Astyanax mexicanus: one gene and its partners. The protein of the gene in region 1 purifies or fractionates together with the protein of each later gene. This does not show direct contact. Links are inferred from orthologs where the notes say so. Each region holds a gene or a part of one and is shown in the gene's direction. Other genes may lie near its edges.

Region 1 (7,441 bases):
TCTCTCTCTATCTCTCTCTCTTTTTCTCTCTCTCTTTCTGTCTCTCTATCTCTCTCTCTATAAGACGCGCGTTCGCGTCCAGCAGGAGCAGAGCGCGATCTTGGACTAATCCGAGCACGTGATCTGGAGACTTTTGAGGGGAGACAGATTTGGGTGGTTTTGTCGCACAAGACAGCAAATAAGCTGTTTTTATTAGTGAAGTTGTTCTAAATATGGAATAATCCTGGCCTACTGCTAAATACAAATAAAGTATTTATATATTTGAAAGTTTTAAAGTATTAAAGTTTTAGTATTTCTTCATAGTTTTTACACACTTCTAGCAGTTTGTACTCTTGACAGCTAACAGCTAATTACATTCACTGGCAAAAAAAAGATGCACTCTGATCGATGCAAAACTTGGCGTGACGTTAAGACTTAAAGGACCAACATGTAATTTATTTTCAGGAGTAAATGACAAAATGATTAGGATGTATCATCAGATATTAAAGAAACATGCTGAGGTAAAGCACTGACAGCTTTTCAGCCAGTACATTCCAAGGAATGTGTATAGCTGGACAGAGCATCGTCTCTCAAAAGTAAAGCCCCCACAGGTCAGGCGCCCCCTGCTGTTCGGTTGCAGAAAGCTGTGTAACCCCACCCATCCCCATAGGTTTCAATGGCAAAACAGACAACTTTCTATCACGTTTTTATATTGTTAAATCTTCACAGAATTCGTTTCTTAAAACGTTATTCAGCTCTATTCAAAAAGGTGTGGTTATTGTAAAAGGGCTGGTTATTGGCGGGACCAATAACAGACCATCAGCTCCGCTCCTCTCTGTAGCCTGTGACCTCGAGGCAGCCCTCAGGGGTGGGGTTATTTAAATGAGTAGGCTGTCTCTCCACAGTCTTTCTCCCTCCTCTGGTCTCTACTGCGCAGACTCAGGTATCAGGATCATCAACATGGCTTCATTTTCATTAAATGAATGGGAACGACGACACAGCGTCAATCTTTTTTACAGTCTCTGGTACATTCCTATTTAGATTATTTGTGCAGTGCCTCAGGGTATCTGTATTTGTTTTGGTCTCTGACTCCTCCTCCTGCTGCTCATTCCCCAACATTAACTCCACCCCCGAGGTTCGATACACAACAGTGAGCGAGCGGTGCTGCAGCATAGAAGCTAGCGAGCAGGGCTACACAGCCTAAAAAACCTCAGCATGTCTCAAAAAATATCAGTGACCGAAGAAGAAATAAAACAAGAGTAAATATTGGCAGTGAGTTTAAAGGTTTCTTTGCCTCTCCTACCAACAACACCTGCCCAGTCTTCACTGGCTTCGCTTGACAGCAGTAAGGGCCCATCATAACTGAGATCAGGTTAGAACTAGATCAGGCTGCAGCAAGATGAAAAGGTAGGACCTGTGAAGAAGTAACTCTAACTCTAGGGTGTGTATTTTTGGAGCAGTGGGATTTTTCTGGTATAACAGGCTTGGCTTAAGGTAACACCGCTAGCGGTGCATAAAGCTAGGTTAGATAACTACGGATTAAGTTCACATGAGCTGGTTTATAATGTGCAAATAATAAAAACACTCCAAACACATTCATTAGCTAAATAACTTGCAGAGTATGACTCGTCGTTGCTTGCCATCATAGTAGTTACTGAACTACTATGGCAACCCGAGTGAGCTTCGTGTCTAGGATGCATGGCTCTTTGTGTTTTGAAATTAAACTGCAGTAGCTATTTCACACACTCGCTCTTATTACCTACTGAATGCTCCTTTAATAAACTCTTTTTACAACTACATTTTGTCACTTGTCTTTTGTTTCCTATTCCTGTTTGTAATCATTAGCTAATCAGTTCAGCACAAAAACTGTATAGATATACTAAACATATTATTTGACTTAATTTATAATTCTAAACATCTCATTAGAAATCCAAGCTAGTGTGAGATGATGCTCAGTCCAAAGAGATCAACATTAGCCTTTTAAATATTAATGAGTGTATCTGTTTGAAGACTTATGTGACCGAACATTACAGGAAGGATGTACATCTACTTCTTAGCACAAAGTTAGCATGAGAATGACTTAAAGGGGAAATCAGGGAAAAGCTAGTGGCACACAGATGGTAAAAGTTGGTCACTGTTGTAAAAGAAAGAGTAAAAGTGTATCCACTATGCTCTTCTCTAATAGCAATTTCCACTACACTACATTCATATGCCTTCAGCAGGGGTTATGGATGTTGTGAATTGAATTTATATTGCACACAACACGAACATGCAGCACCAGAGGTCTTGATTTTCATTTGCAGATTTTAACATTAACAATCAATAAGTTGTGTATTGAACTCTAATGCTGCAAATCAGTAGCAACAATCGGTATAAGTTATGTGTATAGTCTACACAGGCAGGATTCTGAAGAAGAAACCCACACAATCATGTCTAAATTAAAGTTTAGTTATCCTGTCTTCTGGTTAATTGAGCAAAAATCTAACTGATGTCACTCACGGTTCTAGGGGCAGGGTCACGGGGGCATTGGCCCAGCTGAAATCTGATTGATGTTTCCCTGTCCTGTCACTTATCTTTCCTTTCCCCCGAGAGTGATAATCACAATATACTTGGATGCAATTCCATGCTCAAACACTGAGCCAAATAATAATGTCCAGGGTGATTAAAACTTATGTAGGAGAGATTTTTTGAACTGACAGTATTTGTGAAAAATGTTTTAAAATAAACTGCTGGTTTTTCTTACATGCTCTGTGTATTTTGTCTATACTGTAAAAATGCATGTAAAATTGGTAAGGAGATTTTAATAAAATTTTAAATTTCACACAAAAAATATATGCAATAAAAAATTAATCAGAAACAACCAAATATTCCAGAAAAAATAGACTAGCAGCAAAATGCAAATGCAAATAAATTTAAAATAATAATTATATATTTTTTATCATTTTCAAATAATATAGAAATTAGCTATATTTAAAAATCTTTTTTTCTGTTTTGAAATTGCAACATTGCATTTTGGCACACAATGTACTCCATGGATACATTCTATTGTTTGTAATTGGTAAAAAAAAAAAAAAAAAAAAAAAAACTTGCCCCTCTTACGCCATACTAAAATATACTATACTCATATATACTGCTAAAATAAAACCATAACGCGAAGAAAGCTGAACATTATTTTTTTTATCAGTTAGCTCTCAGGAGGTCAGGAAACCTGTGGATTAAGATAATCACAGGTAAGATAGTGTGTGGGCTGCAAGGCATCGACTGCTGCGTTTCAGACAGAAACATTTAGTCGTTGCGCCAAAGGGTGAACAGACCTGTCAGTGGAATTTGCGTACTTAGGCTGTGGCTACGATCTCATTTGATCGTAAGCTCCGTTGTTGAATAGCGGCGGTAACTATCAGCAACAGCCAGATAACCTCTAATAGAGAGGAGAAAACTCACTAAAGAATCTTTTCTTTGGGTTTGTAACACCACTAGATGGCGCTCCCGATTCTAGAATTAATGGTTCATATTGAGCGTCTGAGCCGCAAATTCATAGATGTTTAATCATTTTCATACTGGAAAATGTACTAATTTCCTTAACACAAAACAATACCAAATCATTTAAAACGCTTTTAAACTCCAGATATAAACTTTTTAAGCTTTATTGTACACTTACAGTAAGCTCACAGTGGCAGTAATGATAACGCCTCTATTAGAAAAACCTGCTTACTGTAAAAATAAAACAATTTAAAATATATAGGTTCATTTTATTTGAGCAAAACACATAATTTACTACTTAAAATTAAAGAAATATCCTGGAGCAGTGAATTGTTACTATATGTGTTCGCGTTTTTACCCGTTTAGATCAATTCACCCTTAATTAATTATGGACTCGCTCGCGGGCTCTCTCTAGCGGTTTTCAATAATGATCTCATATAACGCTGGAGATGAGAAATGGGGAACCGGGTGTTCTGTCGAGTTTTGCTACCCATCGATACGTGCTTTCTAAAGACAATGCGCATGCGTTGACCTACATTTAAAAAATATTTCTTGTGTGTTTTTTTTTATAATTCTGTTTTCTAGCGTTTTTTTTGCATTTAGCAATATGGACTCATTGTCATTACACAAAAGTGAATTACACTTAATAAGAATAATAAAAAAATATATATATTATTAAAATAAATGCAAAAGCAATTTATAATATCTATCATAACTTTACCCTGAAACAGTAATTTAGGCTATTCAAAAAAAACAGTACATAGGCTTCTGCTGGGAACATGCTCTAATATGGTGCTTCTTTTGTGTTTTTCACCTTTATTATACACTAGGGTAGGACGGTTTGACAAGGTAGCACAATTCGACAGAACGCTTTGCTGTAGTGTTGTTAGGTTTGTCTCCTCAGAGCCGCCGTAGTTTGGCGGAAGGAGGAGCTGGCGGGAGTCCGGAATTCTGAGCTGAGTTTAAGTAGTAGAAGAGCGCGAGATAAAGGTGGTGTTTAATTCAGTCATGGAGAGCATCAACGCCAAGTATGTGTCTCAAAAGATCAGCAAAACGCGCTGGAGGCCTGTACACGCGGCCGCCCTGCACCAGCCCACCTGCTTCGCCACCGGATCCTGGGACAACGAGGTACCACCACTCACACTCACTGAGACACACAGCGGAGTCTCAGACAACTGTTTCACAGTATCATATCCATTATTGTTGGGTGGTGGGTCATTCTCAGTACTGCAGTGGTGTGTTAGTGTGTGAATGGACCAAACACAGCAGTAACTTACTGCTGGAGTTGTTAAACTATGTGTCCACACACGTACCATACAGTATCTTACAAAAGTGAGTACACCCCTCACATTTGTGTAAATATTTAATTATATATATTTTTATGGGACAACACTGAAGATATTATACTTGTGTAAAGTACTCAACACACAACCATTAATTTCTAGCAAAAAAGTGAGTATATCCCTCACCCCTCAATTAGCCATTTTCCTCTCAGGTCCCACAAGTTACACGGTCTCAGGTGTGAATAAGGAGCAAGCCTGGTTTGGTGTTTTTGGTACAATTCTCTCATAATGGCCCATAGATATTCAGCATGGCACTTTATGGAAAGAAGATGTGAGAAACAGAAATGTTGCTCTCCACAAATATGACCTAGGCTATGTAAAACATGACTAGTTCACTCAGTGTTCTGAGTACCATAATACCATAATAGGGGAGAGTGGATGATGGAGATTACCAGAACCACTTTTAATGAAGCACAACCGGGAGGCTACGCTTAGCCACTATAAGAAGTTAGCAAACACCCTAAAACTTAGATACAGTACAATGGCCTAGGTCATTATAGCAGTTTTTCAGGACTGGTTCCACTCAGAACTTGCCTCCCCAGCATTGCTGCAGAGCTTAAAGAAGTGGGAGTTTAACCTCCAGTGCTCGGAACATAGGTCCCACACTACATCAACTCTGTCTGCATGATACTGTCCCCAGAATGCAGCCTCTTCTGCAGCTGAAGCACAAGAAAGCCCGCAACAATCCAAGAACAAGGATTACTGAAACTGTCATGTGGTCTAACAAGATCAAGATAAACTTGTTTGGGTCAGATGGTCTTCAGCATGCCTTGGCATCCTGGTGAGAAGTGCCAAGAAAACAGCCCCTTTTCTACAGTCAAGCATGGTGGTGGTAGCATCATGGTTTGGTGCTACATGAGTGCTGCCAGCACTGGGTAGCTGGATTCCAGCATGTTCTGTGATATTAGTCCCCTCTCTTGGGAAACTGGGCCACATGTCAGTTTTCCAAAACCTTTGACCAAAAAAACACCCACTAAAAAGAACAATTGCTTTGCTAAGGAAGGTGAAGATAAATGTGATGGACTGGTCCAGTAAACTCAACTGATTAAGATTATAGTCCAAGACTAATTGTAGCGTAGCTAGCTTACCACTTGCTCTTCTGACAGGTGATCAAGCAGTGTTTTAACTTTTGTTGACTTTTGTTGACTTGGATGAAAAGCAGAAAACTGAAAAACTCAAGCCTTTGTGAAACATGCTGAGTGACTGTTTATTTCTCAGACTAATCAGGTTTGCATCTGGGGTGTGGGAGAGACTGGAATGGCCTGTGAAGACGATGAGCTGGAGGGAGATCCACAATTACTGTGTGAGTGTAAACATGGAGGAGATGTGCTGGACTTGCAGGTCAGTCTCATAAAAAGCCATTATTGTGGAAGTGAGGTTTCAGTTAAGATATTTTGTCAAATCTGAGTGTTGCATGCATTTTATGTGTATTTATGTGTCTTATTTCTACAAGCTGTAATATACTGCACAGGGTTGTGGTTCCCTAAAAGCACATTGACACATAGATGATTGTTTAGCTGTTGAGTAGCAATTTCACTGATCTTAACCTCTACAGAGTGAGAGCATTTGAGTACAATTTGCATATTTTTTGTAAAGTATTAAGCTTGTAATAAAGTGGAACTTTACTGTAAAGAGAACATAAAATTGAACTTCCATTGCATATTTATCTATGCTTTCAGCATCTATAAGTAAAAGATTATCATCAACATGTCTATAACACACATTTAAAATATGTGCAATATGTGCAAATTAAAATTAATGCACAGGTTTTACAAAGGACTTTATTAAAGATTTTTTATGCTCTTCATACTTGATTTCTGCTGCATAGCATTTACATACAACCCATGGCAGCATTCAGCTCTGGAAAAAAATAAGAGACCACTTAAAATTGATGAGTTTCTTTGATTTTACAAAATTGTAAACCTCTGGAATATAATCAAGAGGAAGATTGATGATTACAAGCCATCAAACCAAACTAAACTTCTTGAATTTTTGCACCAGAAGTGGCATAAAGTTATCCAAAAGCAGTGTGTAAGACTGGTGGAGGAGAACATGCCAAGATGCATGAACTTAACCATTAGCAAGGATTATGATTAAATGTCTTTTGTCTTTTTAAGACCCTGTGTCAGACCCCACTTTAGTTCCTCATGGTCATGATTAAGATCAAGTTAGACATTATTTTAGGTAGTAGTTGGTTAGTACTTGTCAGTTGCTGAAGAGTGTGTGTTTTTTAATTAACAATAGAGGACATTTTATTTAATTACTATACATTTGATTACTGTATTTTTTTCAAATCTTCTTCAGTTCCTGGATCAGGAAAGGCTAATTACAGCATCATCAACAGGAGCCGTGACCATCTATAAAATTCATGCTGACAGCCAGGTATGAAAGATTTTCACCCTCTGTATATGAGCAAGAACTAAATTCAACTTTAATAAGCTGGGTATGTGCTAATATATATTTATATTTTGTAAATGTTTATTTTGATGAGGTATTGTTACAGTGTTGTAAATTAAAACATTTTTCATAGTAGGAATAGGATTTGACTTTTTTTTTTAAGCATGTGTGTTTTGTTTATTTTGATCATATGTGCATGCATGCATAGTATTCTTTGCATTGAGACAAAACATTATTACTAG
Region 2 (8,235 bases), on another chromosome or scaffold:
AGAGCAGGACTGAACACACCTGCAGGCTGTTCTGACTATTCTGTTTCAGGATCTTCAGTGAGCTCTGATTTCAAAACTCCTCTCAGGGTGTGTGTGTGTGTGTGTGTGTGTGTGTGTGTGTGTGTGTGTGTGTGTGTGTGTGAGTGAGAGAGAGAGAGAGAGAGAGAGAAGACAAAAAGAAAGAGAGCTGCTTTACTTCTGAAACTTTATCTGAAATGAAATAACTAAGAATACTGAGAGTGAGCAGCTTCTGCTTTTTCCAGCTGATTCAACGGTCAACCCTCAGAAAAACTATTCAGCAAAATATTACCGATTTCCCACAAACTAAAGCAGACCACACAGCTCAACACAGCAGTTAGATCAGACTGGAACTGTGCCTTTAGTTCATGTTTATAGAAAACAGAAACTGCGTCTAACTTGAGTTACTGAAAGTCACAGAACTGGGTGACACAGTAAACGTTTGATCATTATTACAGACGGAAGAATCGACTGGCTATCTATGTGTATTGTCCAATTTTAAGCCTTGTCCTCATAGCTACTAAAAACATTTTCTGAATGTTATCAACTCGACTTTGATTCTTAAAATCTTTAGTTTGTTAAATTCTCTGGGTACACTGTTGCAGCAACAATATGATAACTACATTGGCACATTATCAAAACATTTTTCAGACATATTAATAATACTTAAATGTTATATATCAGTGTATATTTGTATCAGTTAAATCAATGTTTATAAATGTTTTCAGAACATTTAGGGGTATGCAATAATGACCTAAAACAATATTCTTGGCAATATGATGGCAGCCCACTGCTCCAGGTTTGTGTGCTCACTGTATCACTGTTAGAGTTTAGTTTCTCTGCCCGCGCTGGGTCGGCCTGAGATATCCCACCACTTTTCTCAGGCCGGGTCGGGTCGGGCTCCAGAAAATAGTCTGAGACGTAGGCATCTGTTTTTTTAATGCTATTTTTTAATATAAAGCTCTGGCGTGATTATCACAATATAGCTAAGTAACCAAATGAAAAATTATGAAAAATAACAAAAACTGAAATGAAAAAAATATTCTAGTTAACTGAAACTAATAAAAACAGTAATTAAAGAAAAAAAGCTAACTAACTGAAACTGTACTGTGTTTTTATAAAACTGACTAAAATGAATTGGAATTACTGATAGAATACCCTTTGTTTTTTGTGTATTCATAAGCATTGTTTCCACTTCAGCAGTTTTACCACGGGCGGTGTTGGGGCTATTCTGTTCGCGAAGGGAAGCCGGATTCTGCAGGAGGCAAATTTTGGCAGCGCGCGGCACCTCGCGGTCCATGGCGTTAGTTCTTGTTTACAGCGCTTACGTTAACCCTGACATCAGGAAACAACAGGAAACTGCAGAATTCAGTATGGGATTAGAATATGAGCGTGAGGGAGATAAAAGCAGATGTTTCGTAGAGAAACAGGAGATAGAGTATATGGAATAAACTCCACACAGCTAAAGTACATTTGAGAAGCAGCTGAGAGTATCTTTACCTGTGAGTAGCTCATACACCACAACACCCCACGTGGGAGGATGAACTGATAAATCTCTCTCTCTTTCACTCTCTCTCTCTCGCACTCACTCATAGTTGATCATTTTGAAAAATTAGTGAAACCTGTAAAGTTTATTGATTTTTTGAGTTTGTTTATGTGTTTCTCAGATTGATCTCTCTGGTGTGATGTGTAAAAACTAATAAAAAATAGCAAACCCCACTCTAAAAACTAATTAAAACTAACGGAATTGGAAACAAAATAAAATTAAACTACAACGAAAAATTCTAAACATTTATAACCTTGTAAGTAACAAATCAAATTGTTTTAAAAAAGTTGCACCAGTTAGAACGTCATAATCACGCAGCTCTGGGCACACGCAAGCTTCTCCACTTGTCCGCCTTTGACTTGTAGGGCTGTGCAGCTGTTTTTAATAAACATTTTTATTAAATAATAGGTCTATTTTTTGGGCCCAATCTAAGCTCTAATCACCGCGTGTGTGTTTTAAGGGTACTCACTGGTGTGCTCACTGCACAGACGGATTAAATTATATCTGTGCCCAGCATAGTTATGGTTAATATAGTATTATTTTCTCCAGAATTATTTTCTGATTAACTATGTTTGGGCTGTGATTAGAGTTTTACCTGAATTACCATTTTAAATTAAAATGAAATCTTTAAATCATCAAACTGCTGATACAAGCACAAACACACACTTGCATGCATGCCTATGCACATTTCTTAACCTGTTTTATTCTTCCTGCTTGAGGATCAACATAGTGCTGCAGTCGAGGTTAAAGCAGGGGACTAAATCGCTGTAATTAGGTTAATCTTGCAGACAAAGTGTACAAAATGTTTCTCATGTTGAAAAAAATTATATATTCCTCCTTTCTTGGTTGAGGCAGAGAGAGGCTAATACTGGGAAAGTCTAATATCAACAGAGAATAATGAATGGCCTCACTAATCAGGCGTGGCATATTCTGCCCACACAGCTCTCTCTAATGATGGTCTGGAAATAAACACTGATATTTTAAATTATTATAATAACGCAATTTACTTTGTTCTGTTTAACTCGTGTAACAGTGTTACGGTGTTGAGCTGCTAGAAAGCCTTGTTGAAGTGAAATCCCCTACTTTGACAACTGTCCACATCTCTCCACAATGAGTTCCAAGAAAGCTATTTAATTTTTTACATATTATGTGGTATAAAATTTTAAAAGTTTATTTCAGCCTGAATCACTCTTTTACAATTCCAGCCTGATAAATCCTGGCATTGTCATCTTGGAATATGCCCGTGCTATCAGGGAAGAAAAAATCCATTGATGGAATAACCTGGTCTATATTCAGTATATTCAGGCAGTCAGCTGACCTCATTCTTTCAGCACATACTGTTGTTGAAACTAAATCTGACCAACAACATCATCAACCCCAGATCATAGCACAGGCTTGTACAGTAGGCACTAGGCATGATGAGTGCATTACTTTAGCCGACTCTCATCCTACCCTGTTTCATAACACCACTTTTAACTTTTTAAAATGTTTACACAGCATAAGTAAGTAAGTAAGTGCGTGTGTGTGTGTGTGTGTGTGCGTGCGTGCGTGTTAAATAAAGGAACTGAGAGTGTTGAGCTTGTGGCGCTCATTAACAAACATGTATGTCAAGGGTTTGAGTCTCTTTCATTTTCTTTCAACTCTTGATTCCTTAGAAAATGATTCAGTGCCTCATACAGTTCCAACTAATATGGTTTTAATTTACATAATTGATTTATAAATGGGTCAGTTTCTAAGGATTAAGCACAGTTGTAAACATGCCTTAAGGTGTGTAACAGCACAGGACAATTTTCGTATTTTCTTTTTTTTTTTTTATTCTACACACGTTTTTCTATTGAGGACAGGTCAGGACTGCAGTACCCTTGTCAGAATAATTACATTTCATTACATCATCTAAATCATATTTTTTGTATCCTTTTGTCCAGATAATTTCTTCAAGAAAAGATTTTAAATTGTTTCCCCTGACCATCCCAGATGCCTCTCAGCCCAGAGTAGTCAACACGCTTCTGAACATGGTCCACATAAGGCTTCGGCTATAGAGATATACTTGCTGTTATTTTTATGTATACTAGAAATGGACCGATAAGCGTTTCTGGGGCCGATTCCAATCGCCGATCGCTGATACCCATATTGGGCGGAGGCAAATGCCACATTAATGCCACACAGGTGCCAGGCAAACCTGGTACAGATTCCCCTAATATTACCTAAGCAAACACTGGTAATTTACGCTGATAGTAAATAAACACAAGAGTGTTACTGACCAAAATAAACACTTTTCAGGAGAGAAACAAGTAATGTGTAAATATTTAAAAGACACCAAAATTTTTATATTTATACTTCAATACCGCAGGAATGTGTCTCCCAACATCAGCCGCCTCAGCCTGTTTTGTCAGCTTACTGCTTAAAATATCTCACTTACTGTTAATATATAGATAATAATACAATATTTTAACAAGAACAACAGTAATCCATCGCTCCAGCTAGAGCTTAGATTGGGAAAAAAAATCCAGCCTGACTCTGTCTGCCCTCATAAACTGTAATTAAGAGCACAGACCTGATTTAAACTCCATATTCTTAGTAAGTAACATTACAGCAATAAAACAGAGCTTTTAACTAAATTCACAAATAGTTGGAAAGAACAAAATCTGTTTTAATGATGTTAATAAACATCACAGTGACAGCGCTAGTCACAGTTTCACCGCAGCGAGGGGCGAAGACGTGAATTACTTATCTAACCAGCCTTTACTGATTTCTGCCCCCAATAACCCTTTCAATAACCTCCAATAGCCTTTAATAGTCTTCAGTAGCCTTCAACAGTCTAACCTGGCGGCGTGTCCACTAAACTCCGTAGTTATAAACATCCTGAGGTGAGCAGCGCACTAATTTATAATGTAATCCGAGCAGTGACTCCGTGACGGATGCTCTAAACTGCTGCTGTTAGTTTGTGAGCTCACTGGTTGGGCAGAAAGATGGACTGTAGAGAGCTGTATAATCTGGTTAGTGGGATTAAAACCTTTATTTCCTACAGAGATGATCTTAAGAAAACTGAAAAAAACTCCAGACTGGCTGAGCTCTGTAGCCCGTGGCTGGTCTGTAGCTCTGACTGAGTGAAGAGAGCGGGGTTTGTGCTGCTGCTGCAGCTCCGACTAGTAAGCGAGCAGTTTCACCACCCAACCACACACAGCACTGCTTAACTGCTTAACCTTAAACTCCTGAATCGGATCGGCTAAAATCTGAGGAATATACGCAGAAACCGTATTTTGGCTGAAAATCGGCCGATACCGATACACCGCCGATCGATCATCCCATCTCTAATGTATACACATGATGGCTGCCTCACATATTCTGCGTTCGCTTGGAGCGATGGTTTTGAGCATCTTCAGAAATTAATGTGATGCGTTCAGGAGGTGCAGTACACACACAACCACTAGGAGGCAGTGCAACACTCAGCAGGTCCTAAATGGCAAAAAGTTTTAAGGAGCAGCTGTGTGAGCAAATGCGAAACTACCCGCATCAGTACGACCTGTCCTCATCACAGCACAGTGACAAATATGCTATGCAAAATAGCTGCCGGCAGGCAAGTAGTGAAAGGTTTTAGATTGACATATTCAATCTCCAAACTGCATGCATTTTACTTGCTAAAGAGGACACTGGAATCCCAATGTTTAATGTCAACCTCAAATTTTTTAGTCTACAGCAGAAATAAAGGGACTGGTTCCAAAACTTTTGGAGCAGACTGCTTTGCAAAGTAAAGTGGCATTGTGTATTTAATGATTAAAGCTTAAGCTTGTGGTCTTGCCCTTTAACACCAGAATTTCTCCTGGGTTTAATTATATTATTATTACCTCATTATTAGACCCAAATTGGATTGTCCCAACTTTCTTTGTAATGTGTTGCAGGCCTGAAATGCAGAAATGGATGTATATAAATGAAAATGTAAATGAAAGAAGCACTGCAGTGATGATTATACTTTTGTCATGAGTTGGGGTGAGCCTGCATCCTTCTGACCTTAACAACACTCGTCATTAAATACAATCAAATCAGTTCATCCAACAAAAAGATGAACTCTTATTTAATACACTTGTTTTTTAAAGAGACAACAAATAACCTAATGTCCCAATTAGTGGTGCAGTAAAAAATCGTTTCGAGCTCGAATTGCGATTCCAACATTGAACGATTCAGAATCGTTTCTCGTTTTCAAAAAAATGTTTTGGGGGTGAAGCGACAGTAGGTGAGCTCCGCGGTACAGTTAAAAAGCTCCGCATGACAGTATGTCAGCTTCGCGATACAGTTTAAAAGCTCCACACGACAGTAGGTCAGCTCCGCGGTACAGTTAAAAACCTCAGCGCGACAGTATGTCAGCTCCGCGGTACCGTTAAAAAGCTCCGCGGTACAGTTAAAAAGCTCCGTTCGACAGTAGGTGAGCTCCGCGGTACAGTTAAAAAGCTCCGCGGTACAGTTAAAAAGCTCCGTTCGACAGTAGGTGAGCTCCGCGGTACAGTTAAAAACCTCAGCGCGACAGTATGTCAGCTCCGCGGTACCGTAAAAAAGCTCCGCGGTACAGTTAAAAAGCTCCGTTCGACAGTAGGTGAGCTCCGCGGTACAGTTAAAAAGCTCCGTTCGACAGTAGGTGAGCTCCGCGGTACAGTTAAAAAGCTCCACGGTACAGTTAAAAAGCTCCGTTCGACAGTAGGTGAGCTCCGCGGTACAGTTAAAAACCTCAGCGCGACAGTATGTCAGCTCCGCGGTACCGTAAAAAAGCTCCGCGGTACAGTTAAAAAGCTCCGTTCGACAGTAGGTGAGCTCCCCGGTACAGTTAAAAAGCTCCGCGGTACAGTTAAAAAGCTCCGTTCGACAGTAGGTGAGCTCCGCGGTACAGTTAAAAAGCTCCGCGGTACAGTTAAAAAGCTCTGTTCGACAGTAGGTGAGCTCCGCGGTACAGTTAAAAAGCTCCGCGGTACAGTTAAAAAGCTCCGCGGTACAGTTAAAAAGCTCCGTTCGACAGTAGGTGAGCTCCGCGGTACAGTTAAAAAGCTCTGCGGTACAGTTAAAAAGCTCCGTTCAACAGTAGGTGAGCTCCGCGGTACAGTTAAAAAGCTTTGTGCAACAGTAGATGAGCTCCGCAGTACGGTATGTTGCAAAAAGATTTAATACAGTAAGGATCCTAAGTTTATTGTTTTAAAAAAAACTTCTATTTTTTTTAATTGTCCTTTCATCTTTTTATCTTCTCACATAATTTACACAAAATGTATAGGCCATTTGAATAAAAAAATCGTTCAAGAATCGAAAATCGTTTCTGAATTTCGAATTGTGACCCCAAAAATCGGAATCGAATTGAATCGAATCGCCAGTCACTGAGAGATTCGCACCACTAGTCCCAATACTGTATTTAGGGTGCATTCACACTTAGCTCAACAAGTAATGGGTGAGGGAGCATAAGCCACAAAGTTTTGTTCAATCAAAAGATGCAAAAGATGTGGCCATCTTAACCATGGTCCGGATTGTCTGCAATATGAACACTTTTCTAGATGGTTTGGACTTTCAGACCAAAAACAGGAAGATAAGGCAGACTGTAAACAAACCAGAAAAAAACAATTGGTGCTGTGCTGAAAGGATGTGAGGAGGAGTCAGATTCTGACAAAGAGCTAGAATTCATCACAACACCTGACAAAGGAACGCTCCATCTCTTTACTACAATTCTACAAACCAATGCACCTTACTCACTCTGCGGCCATGTTGAAACAAAAGAAGGGCTGTGGGTTCGCTCCTAAACCGGAAATTCCAAGGTAGCAACGGAGCCAGCAGTTTAAATGGCAGCGCCTGTGTGGACAACTAACCCTGCACACCTCCCTGAATTAACGGTGAAATCAGAAATAGTCCGAAAATGAGTGCAAGATTTCCCTGGGTTGTTTCAATAAAAGGCTCCAGAAACTGGATTAATTGTTAGGTTCATGATGTGGAAGCTAGGTAATCGCCTTTGTTTGCTGTATAAAAACTCATGTGTTAGCTAGTTTGCTAGCTAGTTAGTAAATAATTTAGTGACTGGTGAAAAATACCCTGCAGTATGTCTAACTACAGCCCTCCTGACAGGCTTCACTGATCTTTCCAGGCAAATAAGGTGGGCACAGCATACTTTATAAACTTTCGCATGCCAGCCAGTGTCTTAAAGAAACACTATTTCATAAAGTATTTTTAACCTTACTTTTGTTTCCACCGTTAATCTGTAATATCAAATCAGACATAAAATTATTGTTAACATGAACGTGAAATGCCAAATACAGTCCAGCTAAGCATGCAAGTGTACACGCCTGTAAGATCAGGTTCCCCACAGTAGGATATTGTTTAGCTAGCTAGCTAAGCAGGCTATTCTAAAGAGCTATGGCTGGACTAACGCTACCCCTCACTCATTTTGACATTAAACCAAAAAAATAACCAGTTCAGGGTAAATTAAGTCATAGTTAAAGAATCAGGTTTAGCTAGCTTGCTATCTCTCTGCAACGTTAATCAGGCTAGATTCACTTGCTGGGTAAGATTAATATGGCTAGCCTTAGCTAGGTAGCACAGTAATACACATCTTACATTATAATGGTGATCTCTTCTGATTTGGTTAATCCATTCACAGTGAAGTATGGGATCTTTGAGGAAACTATGGAAGATTTAATCTTTATAAT
Region 3 (7,543 bases), on another chromosome or scaffold:
TAGCGCCCCCTCTGGTCATCTCCCCCATTAGGTGTTCGGTGAGCTGGGTGAAGAGGGCGGGGCTGCAGCTGGGCACCAGGTGACCCAGGGCGATGATGGCACGCTTCCTGACCGCCATGCGTGGACTGGTGAGCTGGGGGAGCAGACTGGTCAGAATGGACTGGTGAAAGCTGACCAGCGTACTGCCGAGCCTAAAAACACCATAAAACATCAACACTGCTAATAAGATCTCCTGCAGGCAGTGGTGGATTAAGGTGATCGGGGTCCTGGGCTATACTTTGAATGGGCCTTCCATCCCAAACACTTTTATACACACAATTAATTAATGATATATATATATATATATATATATATATATATATATATATATATATTAGTGGTGTCAATCACTTAACAATTAATCACAACAATATTATGTTATTAATCATAATTAAAATATTTTTTTCATGATTTATTCCTTCTTTCTAGATCCTTTTTTAACAGTTTTTTAAATATCTCAGGGTAGTTTTAATTATTTTTAAACTAGAATCAAGTTAATCATTTAATGTGATGTTAAGATACTGAGTTGAACTGAGATCTTCAATAGAGGAAATAAACACTAGTGTAGCTCCATATTCCACACTCTACAAACTAGAAAATGTGTGGTTGGGTGAAAATTAAGCGCTCTTATTGGCCGAAAACACTTTATTTACAGAATCAACTTCAGCGACTGAAACTGGCAAAATGCGAAATAATGCGATATGTGTAGTTTAGAACATGAAGTGGACTAGGCACATGTGCACATGTTGGCACATGTTCTATAAGTAGGTTTTAACAATGACAATATCATATATCAGATATCAGACATCAGACCTGACCTTCCCAGCATATCTGAGAGGATATCCAGGGCTTCCAGCTGCACAGGTACATCATCCTGCTTCCCCATGGCACCAATCAGCTGAGATGTGATCTTTTTACAGACGTTAGCAGTCAGACACAAACCTGAAAAAACAGTGGAGGAAAATAAAAATTAAACACAGTCCGGTCAGAATATTATAATCACTTTCTTGTTTCTGCACTTACTATACATAGTATCAGCTTTATTAAGTGTAGAGGACACTTTTTAATAGTCAAATTACAGACTGTAGTTCTGTATCTGTTTCTCTGTATATTTTATTATTATAAAGCTCAGGACCCACAGGATAGAACACCACAGGTTGGTAGGAGCAGTGCTGCTGGAGTTTTTAAACACCTCAGAGCCACTGCTGCACTGAGAATGGTCCACCAACCAGCATCCTGTGGTTTGTGTCCTGTGGGTAGAGTCCTGCACCCAATTATGAAGGACTAGAAGATAGGCAACTTCTGTTTCACTTATTTTATCTACAAGGTGTTTCAACTGTAGGTAGGAGTGTTTAATAGAGTGGAGGACATTAGAGTAGAGATTAAACACAGTGTTTAAAAACTCCAGCAGCACTGCTGCATCTGATCCACTCACTGAACCAACCAGAGCAACACACACTAACACCTCATACACCACCACCATGCCCAAATAATAACAGCTGCTCTGTGGTGTTTTTTTTTTATCCTGTGGGTTCTGAGTATTAAAGAACAGGGTGAAATGAGGAAAATAATAATAATAATAATAATATACAGTGTACAGAGAAACATGTACTACAGGACTACAGTCTGTAATTATTATTATAGAACTACAGAGTGAACTATATGATCAGTGACACTGATAAGATGGATAATAACTCAAATATATTGCATATGCATCAACTACATTACTTATAAAGTTAATAAAGGACTGAAAGCTTAATCTCTTTATCAAATCGGCATCATGCATTAATCAGATTAGCAGTGACTGTTACCTGCAGACGCTGGGGGCAGTTCAGCGATAACTGTCTTCAGCCCCATGCTGGAGATATCTCTGAGCTGCTCCTTATCCGACACCATGTTGGAGCACAGCGCGTCCACCATCGTCTCCACCTGATATTCCTTCACTTTACTCACCAGAGGACCTAAACTGCACACATCATTAATACATCACATCATTAACATGTAGATAAGTTCCCTTTCAAAATCTGTCTGCATGTCCGAAAGCGTCAATCAGGATCTGATCGTGTTCTGCCACACAAGGACATTAAGAAGCTCCATTACAGCACTCCAACTCTTTCTAAAGGTATTGGATGGCGCACCATCATGCCAGAGATCACAGGTTTACTGCTCCACAGCTTAATTCTGGCATCTTTATTGTTTAAGATCCACATACAGCTAAAATTCAACATGATCTGATTAAATCAATCAATCAATCAATCAATCAATTTCCCACCATTTGACGGCCAGGTTCTGAACCTCCCCGTTTTTGTCCTCCAGAAGCTTCAGGAGCATGGTCACCACCTTCCTCTCACTGTCCTCATCCAGCTTTATAGAATCCTTCTGCAGCTCCATCATCAGATCATTGGTGGCCATGAACCTGAAGCCAAACATTAAACAAAAAACATGTAAAAATACTAAAAGTGTGTTTAATGAAAGGTGTTGGAATTTGTAATGCATTATTATGTAACAGATAGATTATTTATTATGTGCAGTTTTTATATTTATTTATTTTTATTGTAGTATCTTTTATACATGTAGTTGTCATGTTCCTATTCAGTATCTTTAAAAAATGTTCTTAAATTCAGTTTACATGCATATATGTATGTTTAAATGTTTTTTTAAGGCTAGTTAAAAAAAAATGCATTATTGAACCCCTGGTTTAAGGGACAGATCATGCATTCAAATTATTTAGTAAAAAAAATGAATATACTTGTTTTTCATTAGAAACTGGTGATATGTACAATTTGTAGTTTTGTAGTATCATTTAAAATAATAAAATATATATGGATTATGTTAAAGGTCAATAATTTTATTGTTATAAGTTTAAACAGAGAATAAAACAATATTATTTTTTAGTTGTTGGATGATGAACAGCTGTGTAATATTCAGACACAGAGACAGAGTAATCTCAGGGTTTAGTAAAGGGTTAAACTGACAGGTCTGCTGTTAACAGGACAAAAGAAAAACATTAAAATATTAAAATAAAAGTTTATTAACAGTAAAAAGTATTTTTTTTAATATTAGTCACTTAATTCCACGCCCGCATGCGCACACAGCCTCTCTTACCGAAAGTCTTTGTCAGTTGAGGTCATTTTTTCCAACAAGTTGGAAATATAATAGGTGATATTCGACATTTTGACTTTTTTAAACTCTAAATTAACACTAATAAAGCGAGATTATGGTCTGAACGGGGTAAAAAGAGAGAGAAGTGTTCAGGTCAGGATCATAACGCGTGATTCAGAGCGGCTCTGTGGCGCAGAGTAAACTCAGAAACACGACACTCAACAGCACACAGATATTAATAGAGCGATATTACTCAGGGCGCTCCAAACGGAACACATGCAGCCTAACTAGGGCACTTAAGAAGCAGGAACTCTCTGCGTAGTGTTACAGTATAGGGTGAGAGTATGGAGGGAATGGGACAGGGCCTGCAGCGTTAGATAGACTGCCACCTTGTGGCCACTATACAGATTACAAGATTAAACATAAAATACAATACAATACAACTCCTGATCTCCGGACTGAGATTTATAAATGATTTTTATTAATTTATTATACTTACGGAAGCTCATTCCCACCACCTAAAATTAAAAAAGAAAAACATTTTTTTTTTAGTATTTTAAAATTCCAAGCCCTTTTTTAAATACTAGTAGACTGTACAGAGACCGAAGCAGGTAAGACAAAGACTATATCAAAATAATGAAATAGTAGTTGACTTAAAAATACAAATTAGAGTTTTTTATATTGTAGGCGGCAGGAATGGGCTTTTAATAAATAAAATATTTATTATTATTATTATTATTATTATTATTATTATTATTATTATTATTATTATTATTATTATTATTACTGTTGTTGTTGTTATTATTTTTTATTAATTTTACTGTTACGCTAATCATTAAACTGCGGGAACAGTTTATTAAATAGTAGTAATTATTTATTGAAGTCTATAATTTAGGACACTGAGAGAACATTTAGAAAAACGAGGGGAGGATTTATTCAATTAAATTGAGATAATCCTTTATTAAATTAAGGGGAAAAAAATATTATTATTGTTATTGTTAGTAGTAGTAAGAGCAGTCGTATTACTACTACTTTTCATTAAACTGGTGGAACAGTTTATTAAATTTAGGTAATTATTTATTAAACTCTAACGCTCTGGATGACATATTTCATGCACCGATCATTTATTAATTCTGTTAATTTCAATGTTTAAACTAAATTGTGCTGAAATCCAGAAGCTTCGGAACTATTATTCGGGTCCGTGTCTCCACCCGGAACCTTTATGAAACCGGCGGTCTGTTTGCCACGTAGAGATCAGTTCTGCCCTTTGGCTGATTTTCTCTCCGGATAAAGTTACTGTTTTATAGTTTCTCTGGATCCGGATTAATAAAGGAAGATGGTGAGTATTAAAGCGCTAATAATCTCAGATTAATCCCGCTGTTTCTGACCGCTGTCTGTGTTTAAACCGGTAAAAAACGCTGTTATTTAGCGGAGAGCTAACAGGCTAACATTAGCACCCGGATTCTGTAATATAATAAATAAAGAGCGTAAAACCGATTATAACCTTTATTTACAGTAAAGATACACTTTTATTAACTGGTTGTGGATTAACTGCTCGTGTTTAAGGTTAAAGATGATCTGAATAAAAGATGATTAGTGTTAAAGTGACTAACGGAAACATTAGCCTAGACTTCCATTCATTTCAATACAAAAATAATAAATAAACTGAAATAAACTAAATGTGTTGTTTTAGCTTTAATTAAACTTTAATTCAGGTTAGTTTTCGTGAATTATAGCTTGTTTATTTAAGTGTACTGATGTTGGATAATTCTTAAGCTGTATATCCAGTATTATCCACGTAGGCATAACTCTGCAGCCAAACTTATTAAATAAAAAAAAATTAAAGAAGTAAATATGGGTTTAAAACAGCCAGAAGTGGCCCGTGACGATACGTTTAAAACTTATGCATGCTATTAGAATTGTCAGATATCATAGTTTAGTGAGTGATCTGGAGTCATATAACTTATACAGAGCTGTGATAAAGTAAGTTATTTGTCGCCTACAGATTTCTTTAGTTTTTGCTTTCTTTTCTGATTTTTTTTCTTTTTCAGCAGACACCACCCCCACTTTAAATGAATAATTAGCTTTATTAGTGTGTATACAGAGGTATAGTTACTGTGATCATGGTGCATATAATAGAGAGATAGTAATAGAAGCAAAATAACAGGCCAAAAAGGGGAGAGACAAAAAAACCTTACAAAATATAGCAAAAAAAAGTCAGATATTAAGGAACAACAACAGCGAAAGTATAAGAGCTACAATAGAGAAACAAATACGTTTTTGTATAATATGTGGAAATAAATAGAGAGAAAAGAATTAGAGAAAGAGATAAGTATCTGCCATTTCTCTCTCTCTCTCTCTTTCTTTCTTTCTTTCTCTGTCTGTGTGTGTGTGTGTGTGGGGGGGGGGATTAGGGCTGCAACTAATGATTATTTTGTTAGTCGACTAATCTGATGATTGTTTTGTGGATTAGTCGATTAGTCAACAATTATTTCTGTCATGTTCTCCATCTCTAAAAACAATAAAAACAGTTACAAATTATATTTAAAAGGCGTTATTTAAAATATTTAAAATTATATTTAAATGTCTGGATGTTGTGAAAAGTGCTGATATTTAGTGAGTTAATTTGAAATCTGTGCATTTTTGGGCAATTTGGGCACTTTAGGAGAGGCAGACGAAGTTAAGACGTTTACCCATCACCCATTGCGCTTCTGTTCCCAGCCCTTTGTGTAATGCAGTACTGTTACAAATGAACACTTAGTCGACAATTAAAATTTGTAGTCGACAAATTTAAATAATCAACACTGTCGATTATATTGATTAATCGTCACAGCCCTGATCGGAACATTCAGGCAGAGGTTTTGGATGTATAGGAGGATTACCTGTGTAATGGTTGTGTTAGTGGTGTGTTGATCATCTGTGTGTGTGAGAGCTTCGTTTTTATTATACTATTATAATTTTTTTATTATACACTTTGAATAGTTAATTCTCCATCACTCATTCCTTTCTGCTCTTGTATTTCAGGTGTCTGTAATTAATACAGTGGATACCTCACACGAGGACATGATCGTAAGTATTGGTTTGGTGGTTTTAGTGAACTTTGGTCTATTTTGTGTGCCTGATTGAGAATTCTTTAATAATCATTATCATCATCTTTATCTTCTCTTTCTTTCTCAGCATGATGCCCAGATGGACTACTATGGCACACGACTGGCGACCTGCTCCTCTGATCGCTCTGTGAAGATCTTTGATGTAAAGAATGGAGGACAGATTCTTGTGGCTGATTTGAGGGGGTAGGCAGTTTTATTTTTTGGAATATTCATTAATGTTGCTATAATATTATTACACTGTAAACCCATACAACCCATAAAACTCAAATGATTTAAGTCTGTTTTACATAAAATTTGATATTTCTAAACAATACTCAACTATTGACTATTTTGAGTTAGTTGAACTGAATTTGTGAGCTCATATACTGTACTATTCAAACTGAGTTCTTTGAGTTGAACCAACTGTTAATAACTGAGTTTAGTCTATTTTGCCATTAACAGCTTCTTTTCCATTGGCTTCTGTCACAATCTATTTGCATACTGGGTGTGTCCAACAGTTTCTGACTAACACTCACCATCAGTGTGTAGTGATTCCCCCTGGGCTACCTTACAAATAAATCAACTTCTCCTTTAGTTGTAATAAATTGATGTTCTAAGTTATGATAACTTAAGTTTTCATCCCCCATTACTTTAATTTTTTGAGGCAACCGGTTTCCTCAAGTTTTTGAAGTAAATTCAACTTATCCGGTCTTACAGTTTAGAGTCATTAGGTCATTTAATCGAATATTTAATTTGAAGTGAATGAATGCTTTCAGCACAAATTTATTCATTGTTCTTGATTGTATTCATCTTTTTTCTTTATCTTTGTTTATACAGGCATGAAGGTCCAGTGTGGCAGGTAGCCTGGGCTCATCCAACCTACGGCAACATCCTGGCCTCCTGTTCCTATGACCGAAAAGTCATTATCTGGAAAGAGGAGAACGGGACATGGGATAAGATGTACAAATACACAGGCCACAACTCCTCAGGTACCTTCTGCTGTGTTTATGATTTAATGGACAATAAATTATTTTAATGGATAATAAATTTACTGTGATAAACAATTTAATATTTTTTAAATAAAGTTGACATATCAGTTCATTCAATAGAATCTTCTCAAAAAGGATAATTTTACCATATAATGATACACCAGTGACCTGATAGAGGTGTTTGCTGGAGTGGTAGAGTTGAGGGGGGTGGAGGAAGGTTCAGTCTCATTCCCCAGGAAGCCCATTCACATTTTCAACAGCAGATCTGGTTTAGTTTGGGTGAATAGCTAGCTGACTGAGAGACCACATTTTTCCAGTCCAAAT
Region 4 (7,812 bases), on another chromosome or scaffold:
AGTGAAAGTTAAAGCTAAATTAGCTTTAATTGTATGTAGTAGGTTAATAACATGTAATACTGTTCTAGGCACTGAACATCTCTTTATTGCTTTATTGGTTAATGCACTGTTAAAGTTCAAACTGTAAAGAGACCAATCCTGAATTCTGAGTTCGTTACATTTGTGTAGTTGGGGTGAAAAGGATCTCTTCTGTATTTTTTTGGCACTTAACTTTTTACACTTGAAATCACACAAAAACTGTAAAACTTACTACAACATGCCATACTAATGTATGTCCCAGGGCAGAGAAACCCAAGGAGCAGAAGTCCCCAGTTGTGGACTCCCCACCACAAGAAAATGACAGTGAAGACGAACGCCACAGCGATGATGACCAGAAGACTTCAAAATCAGAGTTCAGCAAGACAAGCAGCAACAGCAGCCACTCCAAGAGGCACTACCGACAGAGGTCTCCTTCCTCAGCCAGTGGCGATGAACAAGAGAAGGAAAGGAAACAAGAGAAGGAGAAGAGGAGACACAAAGAAAAAGAGAGGGACAGAGCAAGAGAGGACAAGCATGGTCATCGCAAAGAAGACAAGGACCACAGAGGAGAAAGGGGCCGACATTGGGACAGGGAGGAAGAGAAAGGACGAGAACGAAGGGATGAAGACAGAGGAAGAGAGCGAAGAGACAGGGACAGGGAGAGAGACAAAGAAGACAAGCATGGGAAGAAACACAGAACAGACAGCAGCCCAAAAGAGCGAGCACATGAACGAAATGAAGAAAAAGGGAGGGATCGGGACAGACACAATGAGAGAGACCACCACAAAACAGATGACAAGGGCAAAAGGGATGCAGGAAAAGAGAAGGAAGAAAATACCCAAGCAGATGAGAAGACGAAAGAAAAGGATGCACAAGCTGAAGGTGGTGCTGAAGTTGAGGCAGAACCAGGTCCCAGCAAATTTGCAAAACGCAACAGTGAACAGACTGTGAGCTCTGCCCGGGAAAGATATTTGGCTCGACAGATGGCTCGATCGGCTGCAAAGTCCTACATTGAAAAAGATGAAGACTAAAATGCACACAACTGTGCAGGGACTGTTTCACATATGGTGGATGTTGGTAACTAGACTAACCTGAGGGAAGTCATGTTTCCACTGTAGTTGCCATTTAATTTCAAATTGTACAGTAACTTGTTTGTGCTTATTAAAAAAAAGTATGTGGTTCATTTTCGCTAAAATTCAGTTTTTTTTTTGTCAGAGACTTGGTCTAATTCACAGGGACAGAAGTAAAGAAACCACACTTTTACCCTGTTAAATGTTCATGTAAACGCTGTCAAGTTGGTGTCAAAATACTACTGATGTGCTGCTATTCACCAGCTATAAAGTTTGATCTAAAAAAATGTACATTTTTGTACAGGTGCACAATGTAGTTCATTTGCCTTAATGCGCATATGAGCATTAGTCACATTACTGGATGTGGAGGGTCAGACTTCCCTAGATTTATGCTATACAACTTCTTTGCAGCTTGATAAAAAGAAACTGGACCAGTATCTGCCCATTGTTAATTTCCCTTGGGTTTTCTTAGCTATGTGACCAAGTCCTTAAACTGCAATAGACCAGCATATTCCCCCCTGAAGTAATGAAACCTTAAGGCACACCATTATTTTCACCCTTCCTTTAAAAAAAATCCACCAGAGTAAGGAAGGTTGAGGTATTTCTCAGGCAAATTTGTAGGGGTGCTATTCTAATCTGCAAGGAACTTTTCATTTTGGCCACAGGTGTTATTGTACCGGTTCAATTCCTTGTTTCTTCCTTGAATCTACACCATTTAAAACCTTGCCTACACAGAGCTGGTGTGGCTGCACAGGTTTTTCAGCCAAGCAGATGCAGTTTAATGACTGCCCACCTGATTAAACAAGTTAAATTTGGTGTGCTACTGACTGTTTAGAATGAAGTTTAGAAGTTTTTTTTTCCTTTTACTGAATTATAGCATATAAAAGTAATGAAAAACCTCATCAAGTAATCATTGTATTTGCTCTGGAAAATACTAAAATTCATGGAAAAGCTTAAACCTTCAAGATGAAGAGACACACCAATGGTCAGGTTAACAAGTTTATTTAATTAAAAATTTTATTCCGCATGCCACACATGTACTGTTGCAGGTTTGATTTTCACGTTCTTCCGCTCAACAGCTTTTACTGCTTTGTCCAGTGCCTGAGTGGAAGATGGAAAAAAAAATTAAAACCAAGTACAGAAACCAAATTTAACAGTTAATTAAAATTTCTTAAAACTTCAGAAAACCGAGTATCACCACTGAACAATCTGCCGGTAATTCCAGCTACTCTCAGTTTTGTTTTCATCACAAGTTAACATGAGGCATTTAACAGAACAGGGTTAGCAGTGTACTCACCCCGCCTTACTTAAAATCTTCTTGAATCCTTGGATCACATGGTCCCTGTAAAAATTAACAAGTTGTTAGATTGAGATCACATACTTTTACCTTAAAGTCTGCAAGTGGCTATTGTGTGTTCAGAAAACCGATGATCACCACTGAACCTTCTGCCGGTAATTCCAGCTATTTCAGTTTAGGTTTCATCATTACACCATATCAGGACTACATTTGTTTACTAACTAAATGAATCTCGATTTAATTTCTTTACTACCAAGAATGCTTAAATCCCACAGGGGGGCAGGGATGTAACTACAGCAGTAAAAGTGATAGAAAGACTGCATTAAAAAGTGGGGAAAAATAAAATTACATATCAGGCATTAAACAAATAATTAAATCTTTAATAACATATATAAAAGTGCACATGTAGATGGCATGTTTAATAGTAAATTCTGCAACCTGCAAGTGAACTGTGGACATACTATTAACATAACCTCCATAATTAACCAAATCTTTTAGCCAAAAAACGACTTACCTTATTAACTCATGTAGTAACGAGCAATTGTTTCTTCCAGCACGTGGAAGGAGGTTCTGCCTGCAGTGAATGAAAGGGTGAAATGGTAAACATTAACTAGTACTAGTGACTAAAGGGTTACATTATTAGGTTAAGGTCTCTCAGATTATTTGAATAAATGAAATCGTCAGTTATCGCATAAGACGGCACTTCCTACTCAAAGTTTTCTTCACAGAGACGTGAAAAAACACTAATTTACGAATTAACGTTTCTCACCTTTTAATAATAAGGCTCAAGCCTCAGTTGTTCCTTTCCGCCCTGCACTGTGGTGGATTTGGACATAGTTTATTGTGAGATGCAGGGCTGCAGCACCATACCTATAGGAAACACATTTAAAACAGAAGTTAAGATACCATAGCACTTCTGTAACCGCGTTCAGAACTACAGAAAAGTATCAGTATCGATATTCATTATCGATTATATATGTGAAGAATGTGTAACGTTACCTTGTGCCGCATCGTGCCTCCTTCAGCCACGTGGTTCTCCTGAACTCTTCAGTAACTAGGTTTTAACTAATGTAGTAAGCACAAATTATCTCAACTCGCGCCCATCGAAAGCCATTGTCGAGTGAGATATTTCTCCATTAATGCGTAAAAACTGGAAACACACCCATGGTGTTTGCTTATACAGACTTTAGCCATCTCTGCACTACACTCTTCCTCTCGGAGCCGTATGAGAAAGACTGAATGGCGTCGTCCTTCCAGTTATATCCGAGCCGCCTGGTGACGTTCTGCTCATGTTCCGCTGCGAAGCACACAGATCTACTCCGTAACACCGGATATACGGGATTTTTTAGTTAATTTTATTTTACTTTATTTTAATGTACACATTCTTATATTATAAATACGTATTACATAGAAATTACGTACAAAATACTTATTCAAAGATCAGGCATTACACACAGCAAAAAGTATTAGAAGTAAGACATTTATATAAAATAAAATTATAATAAAAACAAACTACGGTATAACCTACGGTATATTTAGACATTCACCTTTAATTTATTTATGTTCTAAAATAAACAATGTAATTATAAAAGGCTATTTTTAAATCCATTGAAATCAATATATATATATATATATATATATATATATATATATATATATATATATATATATATATATATATATATATATATATATAATACGTTCTAGCATTTAAAACTACAAAAATATATACATCTAGAAAAATGTACTGATGTAAAAGCACAATGGGACATTTAAAAATCGAAATTATTGTGGACAGCATTGCAGAGCATACAGTATTTAATATGATATAATTAACCATATACTATTATGTATTATAACAAAATATAAATGTTAGTAATGATAGATAGTATTGTTCAAATCTAATAAGCCTGTTTATGCATATCTGATTATTAAAAGCATCTTTTTGTGTTTATTACAACCACCAAATCGTTGGAGCATTACGCCACTTAGTTGACTACAAAACATATATAACTTAATATAATAACTATAATAATAATAATAATAATAATAATAATAATAATAATAATAATAATAATAATAATAATAATAATAATAATAATAATAATGGGGGGGCTAATGTTTTATGATTTATTTACTTCATCTAAAGAAATTGCGAATTAAAGATGTATTTATGAATATAACATTTTACAGTAGGAACAAAAGTGTGGATGGTTCCTTTTATGTGTTGTATCTCAAATAAACTAAGAGAAGTCCACTTTAAAACATTCATTCTTTTTATTATCTCAAAGAATCGTCATTATAAAAAATAAATGTATTTATTTTGGATGTGTGGAGAAAATGACAGAAGCGGGGTGGTGACGTCCGCTGATGTGCGGGTCTGACGTAGGTTTGTACTGCTTTAGCTTCGCCTGTCGTTTCCCTCCTTCCACACAGTGTGTTTCTCAACTCACACAAATGCCTGGAATCTGAGGGAACGGCGGAGTTTGGCTGAGAGCGAAATTTGAAGACCCTGAGAGAAGCGCTAGCAGATCCCGCTGAGACGTTCTGAGCCGCTGTGTGTGCGCGGTGAGTGTGTGAGGAGAACTGTTGTAGCTGAGCTGGTTTTCTGAAACTCCGATGCTAACGGCTTAGCAAGCTAAGCTAAACCTAGACTAGCTGAATAGTTAGCCTGCTGCCGCTTCAGCTGTGTGTACAGTTCAAAAGTTGCGCAACATGAGTGTAGTTTACAGCTGAAAATGGGTTCTGCTGAGTATTCGGCGCGTGTTTGTTTATAATTTGTGTGTAAAGCGGGGCAGTGTTTTGTTGTTTATAACTGGAGTTGTTACAGCTCGTTAAGCTAAAAGCTAGCTAGCTGGCTAACTAGCGTTAGCCTCTTCAGTAGCGGCGGCCAGTGTTCACGCACATGATGTGGGAGCCTCTGGCGCTGTGTGTAGCTTCATGTTTTCTCCTCTGTTTACGTTAATTTTCATGTTAACCTGTTTTTATGTGATTTAAACAGTTAAGAAACGCCACAAACATTAAATTACGAGCATTACTGTAGCTAGCTAAGAGTTAGTGTTAACGAAAACAATGTAACTAGCTTAAGCCAGCAGAGAACTGCCTCTGGTCGGCGCATGTTTGAACACACTGGTTTTCTCAGGATAAATCCGGTCACACAGCGAGTTTTACTGAACCAGACTGGTTACAAACTAGCAGGGTGTGTTTTTCACGTGTTGTTTATGTATCTAAAAGCATGCGTTCCATGTTTACTGACTAGATAGCTATTTTAGCTACACACGGGCCCGTTTCCAACATTAGCTAGGCCTGTTTCTGGCGCTCAGGATTATCTGACTAAAGTTTGCGACCAGTTGCTGAAATGTAGGGGTGACCACTATTATAAAATATATTGTTTTACGATATTTAAAGACGTTTTCATTATACAAGATGTTTATCATTATACATTTTATGTATATATTTCCTACTGTGATGTAACTACTAACGTAATATATTTAGTTATTGTGTGTTCTAGGGCTGAAAGGTTAATCAAATTATGTACTGTTTAATACTGTTTTAATAGCATTTTCAAAATGGAATATTTGAGATTTTAAGACTTTACATATAGCAGAGAAAATCTAATTAGATATACATTTATTTCTGCCAGAAACCTGTTAAAAAATGATATTGCAGCGATTTTCATGTTTTACACTTTTTCTTAACTGAAATACAGTTTAGAGTTTAATATAAAAGCTGCATGTAGGGTTGAATTGGGGCTGCTTACTGTTCGTAAAATATGTATATTTAAAAAAAATACATTTAATGTAATGGAAACAATGGCTTCTGATATCCCTAAATATTATCCAAACAAAGAAAAGTTAGGACTGTTCTATTATTGTGACCTTCTTTACAGCGACATTTGTATATTAATTAGCAATCGTGCAATTTATTTTCTATCTATTTTTTATTAATTTGATAATTGGTGATGTTTAGGTCGTCATGGCTTATGCTGTGTCTTTCTGAGCTTTTAGGGACATTTTAATATTCTTTTACTCTGTGATATTTATTGTGATATTTCCTCGGAAATGTACAGAATTGACAATCATTAATAATGAAACATTGCTCAATGCACTTTGTAAAGTAAAGTAAATTATTTCTGGCAGATATCAATTACTTGGTATAAATTTTGGTAGCGATGCCAATTAAAATAATGAGACCGTAATTGTTCCTTTTAAATCACGCAGCGAAAAATGGTTATGTTTGCAGAGTAGAAAAAAGTGTCCGCACCCCTACAATAAGTTATAAACGATGTTTATTGTTATATTTTGACCCAAAAACAAAGGCGTCATTGCAGAAGACTCTATTCAAACTCTATTCTGTTCAAACACTGTTTTAAACACTGTTTCATCGGTAGTATGGTGATATAGTTTCATTTTAAATTCGCTGGACGTTTCCTATTAAACATATCTATTTACACACACTGTAATAAATGTTGGTCAGTTGGTTAGTATTCTGCAAGCACTTAAACCCACAGTATGCTCAGAAAATTTATTTTTTTAACAAAAGTATGATAAAAATAGTATGATAAAAATATTACTGTACTGCCCACCCAGTTGCTCAGACTACCTACTATTGTGTTATTCTGATGCCAGATAACCAGTGCTTTTAATTAGGAATGTAACAGCCAAGCAGGCTTTGAATGCTACAGTGCATTTTCTGACAATGTGATAATAGCTATGTAAGGTTTCATGTGATGATTTGAGAAATGAAAGTAAAATCTTCCTCTGCTGTTAAGTAGCCTTAAGTTATCCTCTTATACTCTCCTTACTTTCTGATGTTTTGAGCACAGATGAGTTGTGTACTGAGTTGAATAATAAGCTGCATGTTTGATCACAATACAAAAACTGACCTTTTATCACACTGCTGTTATTTGTGGCAGACATATGCAGGGTGTATAGCAGTCCAAGATGTTTAACAAATCATTTGGTGCTCCCTTCGGGGGAGGAACAGGAGGATTTGGGACATCATCCACGTTTGGACAACAAAGTAAGTAAACTGTGTAATTAAATATCTTTACTGTGAGTGTCTGGATTTCTTCTCTATGTTGAAAAAAATGTGGTTAGCACCAAGTTGCTAGCAACCAGAGTAAAAACTATGTAGTTTGCCTTTTTCCCCCAACCAAATGTTTGAAAATGAATAAGTCTAATGTTAAAAGCACAAGAGTTCTCACATAATGACTGATTGCATTACTTTATTTGTCTTTGGATATCCTTTAGTCATGACAGCTGCTATTCTATAGGATTTTTCATGAATAAATGCCACACACTAAGATTCATGCAAAGATTGTGTCCAATTATGATGTCAATTGTATCCAGCAGAATAGGTTGTTTTAAAGATTACCTTTTTATAACATTGAAACATTTAATTTTCAGACACTGGGTTTGGAACAAC

The links.
Region 2: the proteins of nup43 (region 1) and nup160 purify together in Homo sapiens (affinity purification with mass spectrometry; 5 studies listed by BioGRID and IntAct, counting the BioPlex papers as one, with this or other methods). This does not show direct contact. The link is inferred for Astyanax mexicanus from reciprocal best matches to the Homo sapiens genes NUP43 and NUP160.
Region 3: the proteins of nup43 (region 1) and sec13 purify together in Homo sapiens (affinity purification with mass spectrometry; 3 studies listed by BioGRID and IntAct, counting the BioPlex papers as one, with this or other methods). This does not show direct contact. The link is inferred for Astyanax mexicanus from reciprocal best matches to the Homo sapiens genes NUP43 and SEC13.
Region 4: the proteins of nup43 (region 1) and nup98 purify together in Homo sapiens (affinity purification with mass spectrometry; 4 studies listed by BioGRID and IntAct, counting the BioPlex papers as one, with this or other methods). This does not show direct contact. The link is inferred for Astyanax mexicanus from reciprocal best matches to the Homo sapiens genes NUP43 and NUP98.

What each region holds. Positions count from the first base shown.
Region 1 is NC_064408.1:49,355,836-49,363,276, forward strand, and holds the start of nup43 (nucleoporin Nup43), read left to right. Parts: upstream 1-4,352; 5' UTR 4,353-4,467; coding exon 4,468-4,587; intron 4,588-6,020; coding exon 6,021-6,143; intron 6,144-7,106; coding exon 7,107-7,184; intron 7,185-7,441. UniProt on the Homo sapiens protein: Component of the Nup107-160 subcomplex of the nuclear pore complex (NPC). The Nup107-160 subcomplex is required for the assembly of a functional NPC.
Region 2 is NC_064417.1:10,773,290-10,781,524, forward strand, and holds the start of nup160 (nuclear pore complex protein Nup160), read left to right. Parts: upstream 1-5,024; coding exon 5,025-5,141; intron 5,142-8,235. UniProt on the Homo sapiens protein: Functions as a component of the nuclear pore complex (NPC). Involved in poly(A)+ RNA transport.
Region 3 is NC_064431.1:1,059,166-1,066,708, reverse strand, and holds the start of sec13 (protein SEC13 homolog), read left to right. Parts: upstream 1-4,337; 5' UTR 4,338-4,477; coding exon 4,478-4,480; intron 4,481-6,165; coding exon 6,166-6,210; intron 6,211-6,318; coding exon 6,319-6,434; intron 6,435-7,067; coding exon 7,068-7,219; intron 7,220-7,543. Other genes in the region: cand2 (cullin-associated NEDD8-dissociated protein 2), read right to left, coding at 1-191, 858-981, 1,851-2,005, 2,312-2,455, 3,145-3,212. UniProt on the Homo sapiens protein: Functions as a component of the nuclear pore complex (NPC) and the COPII coat. At the endoplasmic reticulum, SEC13 is involved in the biogenesis of COPII-coated vesicles.
Region 4 is NC_064424.1:13,491,104-13,498,915, reverse strand, and holds the start of nup98 (nuclear pore complex protein Nup98-Nup96), read left to right. Parts: upstream 1-4,772; 5' UTR 4,773-4,953; intron 4,954-7,300; 5' UTR 7,301-7,328; coding exon 7,329-7,407; intron 7,408-7,793; coding exon 7,794-7,812. Other genes in the region: nsrp1 (nuclear speckle splicing regulatory protein 1), read left to right, coding at 281-1,049. UniProt on the Homo sapiens protein: Plays a role in the nuclear pore complex (NPC) assembly and/or maintenance. NUP98 and NUP96 are involved in the bidirectional transport across the NPC. May anchor NUP153 and TPR to the NPC.